Saccharomyces cerevisiae S288C: one gene and its partner. The protein of the gene in region 2 purifies or fractionates together with the protein of the main gene of each other region. This does not show direct contact. Each region holds a gene or a part of one and is shown on either strand. Other genes may lie near its edges.

What was found.
Region 1: the proteins of ISD11 (region 2) and ICL2 purify together in Saccharomyces cerevisiae (affinity purification with mass spectrometry, with the first as the bait; one large-scale study listed by BioGRID). This does not show direct contact.

Annotation. Positions count from the first base shown.
Region 1 is NC_001148.4:566,513-570,909, reverse strand, and holds ICL2 (methylisocitrate lyase ICL2), read left to right. Parts: upstream 1-1,913; coding exon 1,914-3,641; downstream 3,642-4,397. Other genes in the region: REC8 (Rec8p), read left to right, coding at 1-1,574; HAL1 (Hal1p), read left to right, coding at 4,239-4,397. UniProt on the Saccharomyces cerevisiae protein: Catalyzes the formation of pyruvate and succinate from 2-methylisocitrate during the metabolism of endogenous propionyl-CoA. Does not act on isocitrate.
Region 2 is NC_001137.3:248,843-251,589, reverse strand, and holds ISD11 (Isd11p), read right to left. Parts: upstream 873-2,747; coding exon 588-872; downstream 1-587.

The DNA of each region.
Region 1 (4,397 bases), on a different chromosome or scaffold from region 2:
CCTTATATGATATTACTAAAGTTCCCGCACTGGAGTTTCTTAACACTACTCTCCAAGATAATGTATCTTTTATTGAGGAAGCTAAATCAATAAGGAGACAAGACTACATCAATGAGTTAAGTAATTCTAACAGGTTCGAGCTTCATGGGGACATGACTAACTCAGACGCGCAAAGTAATCTAGGATCTAACGTTAGAAATTCTTTTCCGCTGGATGAAATTCCCGTTGATGTGGACTTTAACCTGGACTTAGATGATATAGTGAGCCATCAGGGGACACCTTTAGGCTCTCACTCAAGTTCACAGAAGGATGGAAACGATTTCAAGTTTAATTATCAAGGAGATGAATTGGTGTTGAATTTTGAGAACGATAATGAAAATAACAGTAATGGAGGAGAAGATACATCAGTTGAAAATGAAGGGCCGGTAGCCAATCTCAAAGACTACGAATTGGGGTTAGAAGCGCAGGCTTCTGAAGAAGAAAACGATCTTCAACAGAAACTTAACACCAGAATGCAAAGAGGACATCGCGCCGATGTAGGTGGGCAATTTTCTAAGGTACAATTTGATGCCAAAACGAGTTATCCAAATGAAGTTCTCAAATTCAACCATGGAAATTACAGTCACTTAATGGAAAAAAACAGGATTAGAAAACTAACCGGCCAAAATTTTCTCACCTCTAACATAAGTAGTTTGGTAAGGTCATGTGGTGAGGAAGAATTTTTTTCAACAAATTGGTTAAGTATATTTAACGACTTTTCCAATATAAAGACTAGCGAATGGGACTTATATCCCCAAGGTTTTAGTTCAGTTGAAAGAGGGAGAAAAAGAGCACATTCTTTAGTATCAACCCAAAGCTCAAGTAGTACCAGAAGTCACGAATATGGTAGGAAAAGTTTTCGCAATAATAAGAACGATAATTATTCTTCCGATATGGAAAATGATAATTTACTTTTAAACCTTGAACAAATTAATGAGGATTTGGAAGATGGGCACTATATTGAAGAAAACTCTCAAGGTAACATCCTAGATTTTAATTTGAATCTACCTCCTTCAAGTTTTGGAAGAAGTCATACCAGAAACTCAACCAGGTCTAGTGGTTTCAATGAAGATATAGTTGGTGCTCTCAGAAGGAGAGTCGGGCCATCTGAACAGAATTTTGCCGAGGAAGACGATTCCAGCAACAGTTGTTTTTCTGATGGCTCTCAGCAAAATTTGCAGCAGGACAAAACAAATTTTCAAGACGTCATTCTGGATTATCAAACTAAAAAATTCTACGATTACATCAAAGAAAGATCAATTGTTGTCGGAAGAACAACGCGCTCCAATCCGCCTTTCAAGAGAAAGATGCTGTTGGTTGACATCATCCCAAGCCGCATGGGCGAAGCTCAAACGGGAGCTAACTTTGATGATGTAGAAAGAGGTGTCAGCAGACAGATAGCCGCCAGTGCCTTCCTATCCTTACTGAATTTGGCTACGAAAGGGATGGTCAAGTTGAACGAATATCCTGTTGCAGATGCGGTAACTAAAGATCTTAAACTGAGAAGAGAGGACGAAATAATTGTATATGCCTGAATTTTTATTTTCTCCTTCCATATGAGCGACAGCGGTTACTAGCCGCTGTCCTCAGGTTAATGATCCAAGTCCGAGATCCGGGCCGAATATGCTTGCGGGGAAAGAAATAAAAGTGCATTGGAGAAGAAAAGGATATGCTCTTCAATTAGAAGCGCCGAAACACTAACATCATGCTAGCGATATCATACGTACACTATATAATGTAAAAAATGGGCTTAAGAATAACTCTCTTATTTCTTAACTTTTGTTGCGGTTGAAGAGCTTATAAAAGTACTAGTGGCCTAAAGAAGCTACAGCGCCGATAATAATATCGATTTCGACTTTTCTAGTATTTCGCCGATGATTACAATGATTAACAACAAAACTTTCAATAGAAAAACTACGGGAACACTGAAGAAGCTGGTTTTGTCATCAGACAAGTCACTGCGAAGATCTTTCAACGGGGCAAGCAGTACTAAAGACTTCGTGTTCTCGGAATCAAGTAAAGTAGAAGAATGGTGGGAATCAGCCAGATTTAAGAATATCAGTCGTCCATACTCAGCTACGGATGTTGTAAAGCATCGGGGCAGCCTTCCTGCTAATACTTCAATTTATCCTTCATCTTATCAAGCTCGAAAGCTGTTCAACTTACTAGAAGAGAATTTCAAGAATGGTACTCCACTTCACACGTTGGGAGTTATCGATCCTGTACAAATGAGTCAGTTGGCCCGTTGCAGAAATATCAAAGTTGCTTACATATCTGGTTGGGCTTGTTCTTCCACATTAGTTGGATCTACAAATGAAGTATCGCCGGATTTTGGCGATTATCCATACGATACTGTGCCGAATCAAGTGGAGAGAATATTCAAGGCGCAGCAATTGCACGATCGAAAGGCTTTCTTGGAGGCCTCCATCAAAGGTTCTACTCCTGTTGATTATTTAAAACCAATTATCGCGGACGCAGACATGGGTCACGGTGGCCCAACGACTGTAATGAAAGTTGCTAAGTTGTTTGCGGAGAAAGGGGCTGCTGGTATTCATCTTGAAGATCAGATGGTGGGAGGCAAAAGGTGTGGCCATCTAAGTGGGGCTGTTTTGGTGCCCACAGCAACACATCTTATGAGATTGATTTCCACCAGGTTTCAATGGGATATCATGGGGACAGAAAATTTGGTTATTGCAAGAACAGATTCCTGTAATGGTAAGCTGTTGAGTTCAAGCAGTGATCCGAGAGACCACGAATTCATTAGGGGTATAATAAGAGATAACGTGGTGCCTTGGAGCGAAAAATTGATTGAGATGGAGGACAAAAAAATTCCCAACTCCGCCATTGCTGACATGGAAAAAGAATGGTACCATGAAAATGAGCTGTTTACATTTGAAGAGGCCTTAGAAAAGCAGTTTACGGCAAGCGAGTTTGAAAGCTATAAAGAAAAGAAGGAAGACCTTATGGTAAACAAGCTGGGTAGAGCATACCTAAGCTTAAGAGAAATGAAACTTTTAGCTCAAGAAGTGACACCACTAAAGAAAATTATATTTGACTGGGATGCTCCGAGGACCAAAGAGGGATATTACATGTTTAACGGTTGTATTGAAGCAGCTATTAGAAGATCTTTGGTGTTTGCCCCATATTCTGATATGATTTGGCTGGAAACGAAAACTCCTGACCTGGAGCAGGCACGCTCATTTTCAAGAAAAATTCATAAACAACTTCCAGCTACCAAGCTAGTATATAACTTATCTCCTAGTTTCAATTGGAGCGCTCACGGCTTTGATGATAAGGCATTAAAATCCTTCGTATGGGACTTGGCAAAAGAAGGCTTCACGTTGCAACTGGTTTCCCTTGCCGGTCTGCATTCAGATGGAGTATCATTCTGGGAATTAGCCAATAGCTTCCAAAGTGACGGAATGAAAGCATACGTCGAAAAAGTGCAAAAACGGGAAAAGGAGACTAATTGTGATATCATGACACACCAGCTATGGTCTGGTGCAGAATATGTTGATTCCTTAATGAAAGTTGTCCAAAACGGTGCTTCATCCCAAACTTTAAGTACATCTGGTGAGAGCTTTACCGAAACGCAATTTTGAATACGCTTCAAGAAGATAAAAGTATAAATAATACATATTGCCAGCAACTTAGTCACATATCTCTTTTATCTCTATTTATCCTCTTTTTATTAATTTATGACCACGATCACTATATTTAGTTCGAAAGTTAGTGTTTGTTTTGCCAAGATATCCTCGCAGAAACAGTTTTACTTAAAGTTTCAGGTGTTGCGTGGAATGCCCCTGCTAAGCTGTCGTGTCGCGCTCTTCCCCGCGTTTGTTTCACATTATATATCATATGGCGTATGACGGTATGGGTGAAAATAAGCGTAGGCTGGTTGTGTGTATTTCTCTCGCACTTTGAAAGGGAAAAATAAAAATAGAGTCTATTAGGAAGCTCACATATGCCGGGAAAAATTACGTAAAGCATCAAAAGGGAAAGAAAATATAGGGAAAGATAAAACAAAAAGCAGAACGGTATCAGGCATTCTTGTTTTAGCCTTTATGTACGATATGGCGTTTATTATGGAGAATATTGAGGTATTCAACTATTTAATACTTGCTATAAATTCTGCCAAACTACTAATCATTCCGTTTATATAACTCAAGAAAAGAGAAATACAGAAACAAATAGATCAGATGCATTTCAAAGATTTAGGATTGCATGACTACACTCTCAAAAACTTGATGTATGAGAATAATTGCTGTAAATTTTATGATGCCGTGGATGAAAACAACATCTCATATGTTTTAAAATTTGTTCCCTCAGATGTGACTTCGGAAGGGGATACTTTCCCA
Region 2 (2,747 bases):
AATATATAAGCGAATTTTTTTTTTTTTTCACTTTTACCTAAGAAGTTTATCCGATGGAATGGTCCGAAAAAAGAAGATGCAACTATTACGCACATAAAGTAGGTGTAAGATCGCCCGATACAAACAATAAATAAGCAAATACTCATTTTATTGCATACTTCGGAAACTTTATGCCTGATGTAAAAGAATCCAAGCAATTCATAGGATCTCTCATTGCATCAGCTTGTTATCATACCGTAAAGACATCTCACCTCAGAGTGGGCTTATGTTTTAGTTATAGCGTTTTATATACAAGCTATAAACTCTCCTCTTATAGTCCCATGTGGGTTGAAGAAAAGAAAAGAAAAGAAAAATCTTCTACCAAAAAAGAAATGCTATTGATATTAAGGAAGTAAATTACATGATCTAATTGAAGTCCAACCATGCAAAGTATCGGTCGAAAATTAGGAATATCATCTAATAATATCTTTTCCAAATTAAAGGCGGCCACCTCTCTATAAGATATAACCATACGAATTTCCTGACGTGAGAAGGAAAAAATTACTGGAAAGTTCTTTCTTACATGCAATGACCAGTTAGGCCAGGTTTTAGTGTTTTCTTCCTTGCAATGGTTCTACGACCAGCCTGTCAAATGTGTACATCTGAGAAATAACAGACTGTCTTTTCAAGACACCTAAGTCGTTCTTAGCTTCCTTAAATAGGTTCATTAACACTTTTGGGTCTTGCTGATTCATGTTCTTTCTGAAAGTAGTCCTTGTTTTACTTAAAAAGTATTCCCTGAAGTTGTAATTATTGAATTGATTAGCATTCTTGATGAATTCCTTGTATAAAGACAACACCTGCCTTCTTGTTGGAGCTGTAAATCCAGGCATTTCTCTTCTTTCAAAAGGTGATTCCAAGTTCCCTATACTGCAGATAAAAATGGGAATAAAACTGCTATCCAAACTTCACTTGTTACCTTAGGCTCCGTAAAGTTACTGTGTAATTATATCAATTCCTCAATCATTTTTCTCCGCCGCTTATAAATGAATGAGAATAAATAGACTGCTATTACCCGGAAAGCGGGTGTTTCTCCAATAAATGCATTGTTTAATAATAAGTGGGTAATACAATATTGTTTGGATTTGATGGAAATAGCTATTGCTTTATCTACTTTACTGTGGACATTTGGGAACTAAAAAAACCTCTTTAACCAATATATTCAGCATATATTATGTAAAAATGAATAAAAAAGGTCCTACCCGGATTCGAACCGGGGTTGTCCGGATCAAAACCGAAAGTGATAACCACTACACTATAGGACCAGTACAACTGTAAATTGTTGTATCTCAAAATGAGATACGTCAGTATGACAATACGTCATCCTAAACGTTCATAAAACACAGATGAAACAACCTTATAACAAAACGAACAACATGAGATAAAACCCGGCCTTCCCTAGCTGAACTACCCAAACGTATAAATGCCTGAACAATTAGTTTAGATCCGAGATTCCGCGCTTCCACCACTTAATATGATTCATATTTTATATAATATATAAGATAAGTAACATTCCGTGAATTAATCTGATAAACTGTTTTGACAACTGGTTACTTCCCTAAGACTGTTTATATTAGGATTGTCAAGACACTCCGGTATTACTCGAGCCCGTAATACAACATAAATTTAGCCGTAAAAAAATCAACTAACCCTACAGTAAACTAAACGTAGTACTTTGACACCGATAAACAGGTGAAATATTGAAAAATCGGCAAAAAAATACATAATTATTAGCACTTTACTGTTATTGAACATTATGATATCAGGTATACAAGATATTAGGTATACAAGGTATACCTGAGAAACTGGTGAATAATTCGATAATTGTTGGCATTCCATTGTTGGGAGAGGCTATTATATCATGTATACAGAATATAGTAGAAGTTCTCCCCAAGAATATAGGAATCCTCAAAATGAAATCGATATCTCTACATAGTGATACAACGATTATTCCTCATTCCGTTTCATATGTTTCATTATCCTATTAGATTACATTTCAACTTTCACTAGATTTTAATACTTATAACACATTTTTAAGCAGCATGTGATAATATTCAGGTAACATTAATAATACTAAGCAGATGACATTGGAATTTCGTTACAACAATACCTCTAATATTGCTTCTGCCGAAATCAAATTATGATAAGAACCAATCATCATCCATCGTCTAATATTGTAAACTAGTATACCATCATATACGGTATAAGAAGATAATATAAATTGAGAGACAGCCATCAAAAATTGATGGAAACTGAAATGTAATCTAATAGGATAATGAAAGACAAAGTATAACGGGAAGGAAGATAAAGTAACACCATCGATTCTCTTTTGTGAATTCCTATAACGTCGGGAGAATTGCTTGTATACTATGTATACCTAATGTTATAGGATTCGGCAACAATGCAATCCGAACAATTATCAAATTACTCGCCAGTTTCTCAGGTATATATATTATCCTGAATGTTCTCTCCCAGGAGTATGGACCCTTAAAAGGCAAATCAATAATCTTAATATAATGTTTTAATTGTTTTTCTTTTTCTACGTTTCTGAAAATTACGATTAATCCATTCTATTAAATTGTCAACTCTGCGTTATTCCTTCACCAAATTTGAATACGAATCAGACAATTCTAAAATTACGTCATATTTTAACAACACATATCATAATATTCCACCAAAAGTCGCTTTTGATTAATAAATGATACAGT